3 linked regions of the Schizosaccharomyces pombe genome follow. The gene in region 1 interacts genetically with each later gene. Each region holds a gene or a part of one and is shown in the gene's direction. Other genes may lie near its edges.

Region 1 (3,382 bases):
CTGCCATGGCTGGTTTTTTTACATATCAAGCCCACCCAATTGCTTGTTCTGCTGCCCTGGCGGTGCAAACTATTTTAAGACGAGATCATCTTGTTGAAAGGGCAGCAGAAATGGGTAAATACCTTTCGGAAAAATTACATGAGACTTTTGACTCTCATCCCAACGTGGGAAATATTCGAGGCCGCGGTTTGTTTTGGGGACTCGAGATCGTTAAAGACAAAGCTACCAAGGAATGTTTCCCTCCTGAATACAAAGTTGGTTCTCTCGCCAACAAAATAGGTTGCGAGCATGGTGTTTTCGTTTATCCAGGCATGGGTACAATTGATGGCACCAGAGGAGACCACGTATTGCTGGCTCCTCCGTATATTATCACTCGCGAGCAAATAGATGAACTAGTGGAGGCTCTTAGCAAAACCATTACATCTACAGTTGCGGCCCTTCCTTGAATGTACGCAAGTTAACGAAATTCCTCTTTATCAGTTATAATGTTTCAGATAATTTGGATATACTTATGTTAGAAGACCTTTGGTCATGGTATAATAATTAATTTTATATGAAATGAATTTACAATGCATTAATATACTTTCTCCGCTACGACCCTTCGTTGTAATAAAATTGATAATTCCATACGGCTATAGGGTAGACGATGGCTCGCAATCATTTGAAAACATGTTCTCTGCGTAAACGCGTTTCTATATAGTTTGAATCAACAAACGTAAAAAACAAAAAAAAACTTGGACAAGCCAGAACTCGAATCTGGGACCTCTTCCATGCTAAGGAAGCGTGATAACCATCTACACCACATGCCCATTTTATTATACATTACACATTTATAGTATATTACAAGCATAGTAGGCAGTATACCATAATTTCAACTATTTAATGTATAATAAATAGACACATTATTAGCCAAACAGTTTGGATTGTTTTTGGGTTATTTTCATAATGTAGAACCAGTTGCTAATACTTCGATACAAGTTTAATTTTAAAGTAATATATGTCTATTATTTTACCTCTTCATCCAAGCATCGATGGTGTAGCGGTAACATCAATGCCTTCCAAGCATTAGCTCCGGGTTCGACTCCCGGTCGATGCAATGTTTTTAGCCTTTTTATAAAAAAAATGCAATGTTAGTTTAATAAAGACGATAGCCTCGCTTGCTAACATCATGTTTTATAGTCTTGGCTTACTTCCTTAGAATCTTTACTACGATTGCTACATTGACATTGCATGCAAATCAGTTCCTAGCTGATGGATCCGTTCTACAATTGACGAACAAAAGATATTTGAAATTTGTTAATAAATTAATTGTTATTTTATTTATATTTCTGTAACGCTGTCGAGACGGACAATCAGAGAAAATGCTGTTACAGTTTACGAAAGACCATTTTTTAAAGCCATACTAGTAAAAACGACACCATGTTAATAATGATTTGACTAGAAATTTTATGAAAGAAAACATTCTTTAGTCATAGTAGGATGCAAAGCTATTCCGATTGTATAAGCAGGGGAAGATCGGTTCCCTATCGATCGTTTGAAAGGTCAGCTAAATACGCTAAATACGATTTTACGGGATCACATTGGTAATGTTGTAAAGTAATATCAAAGCGAAGCTAACAAATTGGTAATATTTATGTCGTGATTCTTCACTACCTGTACTTTCTTCCTACACCAGAAAGAAAATCTCAGGTGTTATTGTAAAATTGTTTTTATTTTGGTACCGAAATTCTGAAAGTTGAGTAGTAAAAAGTTCAGAGTACTTCATCCTGAACAGAGTTTCACTACTTTGATCATTTTATCTAGCCTTTACAAGTTAAAGCGATTTAATACTGATCAGCATTGACACCAACGTTTTTGGTTTTACAGGTGTTGTTTAGAATATAAATTTATATACTGCAGCTCTGCATCAACCTTTCTCCTTCCCCTCTAGCATTTTTCTTGCACACTTTAAGCCTGTCAATGGACGCCCCCAGAAGATCTAGCAGATTGGCAGCCAAGATTGCAAACGTCTTGGATAGCAAAGGAACGATTATTCCTGAAGCTGCTCCAGTAATGCTGAAAAAGCCTGCAAAAGATGAATCAGTTGATTCAACTATTCAAGTGGGAGACGTAATTCCCGATATCACTTTGCCTGACGAAGATGGAACTTCCATTCGACTTCGCGATATTACTGCAAATAAAGGGCTTGTAATTTTTGCCTACCCAAAAGCTAGTACTCCTGGCTGCACGAAACAAGGTTGTGGTTTTCGTGATAACTATCCTAAGATACAGGCCTCTGATTATGAAGTTTTAGGGTTGTCTTTCGATACTAGCAAAGCTCAAAAAGCTTTCAAGGATAAGCAAAACTTTCCTTATCATTTGCTTTCGGATCCTAAAGGTGAGCTAATTAAAAAGTTAGGCGCTGAGAAGCCTGGTGGTGGAAAGCTGTTTAGAAGCCATTGGATCTTTGAGAAAGGTACTGGCAAATGCATAGTGAAGGAAATTGACATATCACCTCTTGTCAGTGTTGACAAAGCCTTTGCTGTAATCACTGATTCTGAACCTTAGTTGACAAATTGTCTACGCTCATTGTCAAATTTGGAGGATAGTCTACATGCCTATTGCTATATGATTCATGATGAAATTACACTTTTTTATGTCTTGCTACAATGTGCTTCAACCCTGAAGATACATTCAAATATGATCACTACACAATTTTATACAAGTTGATGGTCCAAGTTAGTGTTGTTCTTATTTTAGTAACGTTGAGATTAGATTAAATAGTTGCCGTATATCTAATACAAATATAGCTCCAGCAACGGTGTAGATTTTTGGTTCATTACGGTTAGAAATCGTAAATCATTATTTTTTAACAAATAACTCATTTTGATTAGAAAAGTTGGAAGTTTCATAAAAAGAGGGAAATCTTCCTGTATTCGTTTATCTTTGTTAGTGCTTTATGGTAAATATTTGCGGTCGTAAACAGAAATTCGCTCTTTACAGCCCACAATCAAATGCTCCAACTTATCGACGGGTGAGTTGATCCAAAGAATATCTGATAAATCAGTAATTTCCTCTTGAGCTTCTCTGCTAGGTAAGCTTTCGAGAGTTGAAAGTTTATCGTCCTGCCTCAAGAAAAAGACTCTTCCATCAGATGCACTAATCGCGAATTCCGGACGATTTACAGCAAACGCAATACCAGTCAAAGAGACTTTGCTAATCGATTTCTCTGCAAGCAATTCCTCACTCTTTACATCGAACACTCGCACCATGCCATTTTCATGCAGAGAATATAAGCGATCAGGGTTACCATTTTTCCATACGATCTTGTTGATCCTGTCTTTAACAGCCGGATTACCAATAGCAGAATTTCCAGCAATGCGCATTTGGCTTACAAGAATTT
Region 2 (2,984 bases), on another chromosome or scaffold:
TAAAAGGAATTAGTATTGTCATTGCTTTATGTTCTGTATACTGGATTTCTTTATATAAAGACGTATATGTAGTATCAGAGATTTTTGACATGATCCAGTATGAGGTATTTCCTGCAATTTGGGTGTATTCTATTTGTCATTTATTGAAACAATGCACGTCTGTAACAACTTACGAAAATGCTTCAAAAGCCAGATTTTTCAGAAGAATGCTAAATGCATTTATCTTTATATTCTGTGCATCTCCAATGTTGCATTACCTGTCGAATATTATATTTGGAAACTTTGATTACAGACTGTCGGTGATCATTGGTGATCTTTTCACTTTTATGGAGAAAATTGCTTTTCCATGTTACATAATGTTTCCCACCCATAATGAAGCACTTGCCTACAATCGAAATGTAGCTGAAGAGGCTCAAGAGAAAATGATTTAACAAAAACCATGGTTTACTTGATTCACCTTTAAAGGGGTTACCGGGATTATTTTATTTATTATTTGTTTATCAATGGATTAATATCCAGTTATTTTAATCTCACTTTTTTACACAGAAATTGTGTAGTAAGTTCATTCTTATTTAATATACCACCTATTTATTTTTTACAAATGAATATTTTTTTACTGGAACGTTTTAAATACACATAACCTTTGAGTCGATGTGAAATAATGTTTTGTTCAAACTTAAAAGTTGCGAATCTGACATATAGACAAAAAAAAAATAAAAAGAAAAAACTGGTTACCTTCATAAACATATTTTGCTAATTTATTGAATTTAATTATTTTCAACTTGCTTTCCCATTTTCCCAACAATTTTTTTATCTATAATATATATTTTACAAAATTAATATAGTACATCGCATGGTTTTCTTTAAAACGACATAAACGTATAATAATAAACGGGGATTCAAAGTAATAAATCGAATCCAAATCAACTTTCAAATACATCCATTTCATCTACTTTACCCTTATATTCCCCTTCATATCCCCAACAAAAAACAGGAATTTGCGAAAGTAGTAAATGGTAAAAGTGAATAAATAGAATCAAGGTTAAAAGCTTACTTGTATGCATAAGAAGATAACTCCCTCCTCTTTACTTTTGCTTAAAAACAGATTCTGAGATTCGGGACTAGCATCGGTAATATAAGTTTTTCTTTCATACTGTTGAGTACTAGCATCAGAACCCTTAATGGTAGGAAGATCATCATCATGACTACGCCTTTGTTCAATCGAGTAAACATTTGCTGGTTCGTGCCAGTCACACTGAGAACAACAAAGTACCTATTATTAAAAATGTTAGCAAGCGATCGCTAACAAGTTGAAAAGTAAACACCTCCAACTATTCCATGGAAAGCATGTAACAATGAAGATCAATGAATGGCTATTAGCTTAACAAACTTGTAAACTCAAAACAGACTAACAACGTTTGTCAGGCACTAAGAGCAATAATGGAACAGACTTCATATCAAACGCTTTCTTGAATGTTCTTACCTTATTCGTATAAACCGGAAGAACAGGCACAATGAGAACCGTTACGGTTTTCAACTGACGACATACTCGGACTAAAAACAAAATGTTATGTTAACATTAATAAGACAAGTTTAAAAAAAAAAAGAAAGAGCCAATTGCTTTCGAAACTACTCAACTTGTTTATTTCTCGTACCAGTCTTCTTTGAACTAAAAAAAAAAAAAAAGCATTAGCAAAATGTGTTGTCAAACGGATAAAAAGAGAATAGGAAGAAGATTGCTGGAAACAATTTTAAAACAGCGAATAAAAAAAAAAGAAATAATAATAATAATAATAAACAAAATACGAGTCGCTAATTTTTGAAACTAATCGCTTCCAACAACTGTTTCATTATAACTTCACCATTTTAATATTGTCCCCAAACAGCATGATTTAATTCTCTTTCACTAATTTCATACCACACAGGACACGTAAGTAAAACATCCTTATAATCGTCAGTGGATATCCACATATCTCGTAAATGTAATGGCATTGTTAAAAAAAATAAACACTCAAGTGAATAGAATTATGAAGAATTCGAGTCTAGTTCAAAATATTTGTTTTGACAGAGTCCCTCTATTTATACCAAGACTAAGCCTCACAGTGAAATATTGTCTAGCAGTAAAATTGCTGATTTATTTATTATATTGTTGGTACATTTACTCGGAAGTACCATCGGCTTCATCTAAATTCCGATCCTTTACATTTGGATGCGTCGTAGTATATCATAACAAATTTTTTCCTCGTTTCATTAGAACTCACTCCATTAACTCCATTAGAACGTTTTCTAAATTTCAAGTCATTATACTTTTCTCTATTGAGAAAGTCACTAGGTCAGAAAGCAAGAATCATTCTTACTCGAAAACCGATATTAGTGATCTGCACCAGGGCTATAATAATCCACCATCAAGATTCATATCACGATAACAATTCCATAGTATCTTGCTATATACGTGTAATGAGTATTCGATACTGGCTTGATTGCTATTTCTCCTTTGCTTGTAATCGTAAAATTGACTTGAAGATCTAAACCTTCTAATGCAATCATTGGAATTCTGCCTAACCTGATCAAATATGGCTTGATCACCGTTAAGTTAAAAGCAGAAGCTATGCCAATCAGTATGATTGTAACTTACAAAAAAATATAGCACAACGACATACAACATTATGGTACAATAAAGAAGACTTGATATATCAAGAACGAGGTTCAGTTTGTGCTCCGTTTATATTATTGTATTTCTATATATGACATTACTTGATGCAATCGCTTAAATATGTACTTTTGTGTAGTTATACTCGCAAGTACAGTAGCATTTTTAAAGTAGCGGTGATGTTGACGAATGGTTTGTTTCAAATCCATCCATTTCAATTTCAATTGTAAATTTCTCTTTTTCAATTATTAATCAAGTAAGTTGAAGTGTATCAGCACAATAAATTCTGACTATTACTACTCTTAAAATAAAACTCAAGCGAAACTAATTTTTA
Region 3 (3,676 bases), 4.1 Mb from region 1:
GTTTGCCAAACATTCATTTTTTTTTTTTAGACTGTATTTATAACGCTAAATACGAAATGGACGACAAAGAATTGTTTGATCGGTCTATATTTGAAGAAACTAATCAGTTACATTTGTATGATCAATTGAATTATTTAAAAAAGAATGACCTGCAAAAGTTTAGGAAACTTTTAAATCAAGTTCAGCAATTGGACTTACGGTCATTGTGGTTGAAGTATCGAAATGCTAAAGCGACAAGCCAAGAGAACAGAAAATTGTCCCCTTCAGAAGTTGGTCCACTATCTATTGTAGATACGTCTGACTCAAGTTGGTGGAGAACAGGTCTTCGGGAAATTGCTAGAGGTCATGTAGCTGCCTTAGTATTGGCAGGAGGTCAAGGCACTCGACTTGGGTTTGCTGGTCCAAAAGGTTGCTTTAGACTTGGGCTGCCTAATAATCCGAGCATCTTTGAGCTGCAGGCACAAAAAATTAAGAAATCGTTGGCGCTCGCCAGAGCCGCATTTCCCGATCAAGAAGCCTCTATAAGCATTCCATGGTATATAATGGTTTCTGAATGTACGTCAGAGGAGACAATTTCTTTTTTTAAGGAGAATGATTTCTTTGGTATTGATAAGAAAGACGTTTTTTTCTTCCAGCAAGGAGTTTTACCTTGTCTAGATATCTCAGGTAGGGTCCTTTTTGAATCTGATTCTTCATTAGCTTGGGCTCCTAACGGCAATGGAGGTATTTATGAAGCTTTGCTTTCCTCTGGTGCATTGAATGATATGAATAGAAGAGGTATACTCCATATTACGGCTTATAGCGTTGACAATGTTCTTGTTTTGCCGGTTGATCCTGTATTCATAGGAATGGCTACTACTAAAAAACTTGAGGTTGCCACTAAAACTGTTGAAAAAATCGATCCTGCTGAAAAAGTGGGTCTCCTTGTATCTTCCCATAATCATCCTTGTGTTGTAGAGTACTCTGAAATTTCTGACGAAGCATGCAAAGCTACAGAAAATGTTGATGGTCACAAGCATTTGCTGCTTCGTGCGGCTAACATTGCATACCATTATTTCTCTTTTGATTTCTTACAGAAAGCTTCTTTGCACTCAAGTACCCTTCCTATTCACCTTGCATGCAAGAAAATTCCATTTTACGACGTAACGTCTCATCATTATACTACACCTTTAAATCCCAATGGATATAAACTTGAGAGTTTTATTTTCGATTTGTTTCCCAGTGTGTCAGTTGAAAATTTTGGATGTTTCCAGGTACCACGTAGGACTTCATTTAGTCCTCTAAAAAATTCAAGTAAATCTCCCAATGACAACCATGAAACTTGTGTAAACGATATTTTGAGTTTAGGTAAAAGCTGGATTTTAAAGAATGGTGGTATCTTAAGTCCAAGCGACTGCACCTATGTTTCCCCAGAATGTAGTTTACAAGGAGAATCACTCGAGTGGATTAAAGGGAAGCAGGTTAGCAATTGTAAACTTTACTAGTTTCCTCTCCTATATTCAACTATTTTTAAAGGTTTATATAAACAATGTAACAAAGTCAATGTGATAAATTTATTTACTTTCATTTTATATTGTACAATAATCGTCGAAGCACTAATTGCTGTTCTTAATCAGCAAATCAACATTCAGGATTTCAATTACGGTTTTACTTCGATTGTTAATATATTAATTTAATAAATTAATTGACCGTGCGTTTATTGAATTTATTAGTGACTGAAAATTTTCTAAATCATCTTCCACCTAATTCGCTTTCGTTCATTTTAAAATAACCCTGACTTTTAATATATCGTTGTTTAATCATGATGTTGCATTATTACTCCTTTCTTTTCAAGCTAAATACTCTCAAATTTTAGTATGCTTTTTACTAAATTACCTGACTAACGGAATAATGAGGTGTAACAACCATATCACTGCTAAAGCTCAAAAATTTAACGAACTACATTGCATCCTATGTCGAGCTCACTAGACATTGCCTTTATGCCGTTTAGCCTCGTCACTATATACATCTTCTTTGCATCTTTTTGTATCAACTAGATGATTCGTACTATTCAAAGGCAGAGCGCTACAAGGTTTTCTTCAGCTTTGGTTCAGAGGAGATTATACTCTTTGGCTTCTGATTCTCTCAATAAACAACGGAAACCACAAGAAGAAGGGCGCCTGGCACGAATTTTCAAAGATCCGTCTAACAAAGCTTGGAAGGATTTGACGGCTCCTCAAAAAGCATACAGAACTTCTGCTAATATTGGAAATTTTTCGATTGTGATATTTGGAGGCGGCGTTTTCGGATTGATTATATATGCACTTGTCACTAGTATCTGGAAGGGCGAGGCACATTACGGTGATGAAGCTTTTGAACTTTTAAAGGCTAATGAAGAATGTCGATATGTTTTTGGAGATCACATGAAAGCCCTAGGTGAAGCCACGCATCCTCTTCGTCGAACTCATGGTATATTGACTAGTCGTGTGTGGGATCACCATGGTGTAGAACATCTAGTACTACAATTTCACTTAATCGGTAATGAGAGAAAAGGGCACGTATTTGGAAGACTTGTAAATGTTCAAGGTGACTATAAATGGGAATATCTTTTCGTTGATGTTGCAAATTACGGAAAAATCATAATTTTTGATCATACCAATTCTGTACGACAACAACATAAGAATTTTGGTTTATGGGGAAGCTTAAAAAATATTACATGGGGAAATTAGAATTTCCGAATGATAAACGCACGACGGAAAGGTATAGCTGTTAATTTCAACCGAAAAGGAAATCATTGAATTATTTCTCGATTTTAATGGTTTGATTAATGGTTTTTCGCAGAGAATTAATTTTCTAATTTACGAATTAATTTACAGGCGATGTTAATGATTTTTATCAGAATTAGCACACTTAGTTATGCAGTATTTGGATGTATATTGCAAAAAATAAAAAAATCGTCGACACTTTATTACTAATTAAGCGATCGAACCTCATGATTTGTTGTTTAATTAGTTAGTATAAAGAAGCGAATTTGTACGAGGGGCCTTTTCGCAGGGGCTGATTAATCGCCAATCTAATGTACTACCTAAATGTGTTTAGTTATAAAAAATATAAGAATGATTCAAAGCACATGAAATAATTTTGATTATTAGATATAAAGTACAAGATGTAGGCCGGTATTTATAACCGAGTACACTAATCCATATCCAACTAGCAATTAATTATATATTAAATTTTTATAATGACAAAACGCAACGCATTCAAAAAAGATGAAAAAATCTGGTATATAATTTCCAAATAAACAAATTAAAAAAGAAGAAAAACAAGGATAAAATACTTAAGTTTCGACAAAATTAAGCAGCAGTCGAGTCTTCATTATCCGGCAAATTAAACAATCCAAACCATAAATCGTCACCAGTACTAGTATCTTTTAAAAATTTGTCGAAGTCAAAATCATTTAGAAGAGCCGCATCGATGTCTGTTGAATTTCCAACATCCAATAATTGATTGTCTGAAGATTTAGTGGCAACTGTGGTAGACTCCGTAGGTGCAGAAGGAGTCGCGGAAGTATCAGGATTTGATTTTCCTGACTGATTTTGATTATCCAACTCAGAATCGGATTTGTGAACATTTGCTCCTTGCGATGGTTCCAAAGCAGGACCTACACTTGTTGCTTCATTTGTTGATGATTCGGGGT

Evidence for each region. A genetic interaction does not mean that the proteins touch.
Region 2: mutations in bcp1 (region 1) and ftm3 together harm fitness more than expected from each alone (negative genetic interaction), as found in Schizosaccharomyces pombe (one large-scale study listed by BioGRID).
Region 3: mutations in bcp1 (region 1) and tim21 together harm fitness more than expected from each alone (negative genetic interaction), as found in Schizosaccharomyces pombe (one large-scale study listed by BioGRID).

What each region holds. Positions count from the first base shown.
Region 1 is NC_003423.3:283,103-286,484, reverse strand, and holds bcp1 (thioredoxin peroxidase), read left to right. Parts: upstream 1-1,668; 5' UTR 1,669-1,959; coding exon 1,960-2,547; 3' UTR 2,548-2,882; downstream 2,883-3,382. Other genes in the region: SPOM_SPBC1773.03C (aminotransferase), read left to right, coding at 1-446; csc3 (WD repeat-containing protein), read right to left, coding at 2,937-3,382. UniProt on the Schizosaccharomyces pombe protein: Thiol-specific peroxidase that catalyzes the reduction of hydrogen peroxide and organic hydroperoxides to water and alcohols, respectively.
Region 2 is NC_003424.3:5,563,653-5,566,636, reverse strand, and holds ftm3 (transmembrane helix domain-containing protein), read left to right. Parts: upstream 1-1,985; coding exon 1,986-2,426; downstream 2,427-2,984. Other genes in the region: ftm4 (transmembrane helix domain-containing protein), read left to right, coding at 1-431.
Region 3 is NC_003423.3:4,397,284-4,400,959, forward strand, and holds tim21 (TIM23 translocase complex subunit Tim21), read left to right. Parts: upstream 1-2,015; 5' UTR 2,016-2,036; coding exon 2,037-2,708; 3' UTR 2,709-3,118; downstream 3,119-3,676. Other genes in the region: uap1 (UDP-N-acetylglucosamine diphosphorylase Uap1/Qri1(predicted)), read left to right, coding at 57-1,484; adn2 (transcription factor), read right to left, coding at 3,333-3,676. UniProt on the Schizosaccharomyces pombe protein: Essential component of the TIM23 complex, a complex that mediates the translocation of transit peptide-containing proteins across the mitochondrial inner membrane. Required to keep the TOM and the TIM23 complexes in close contact.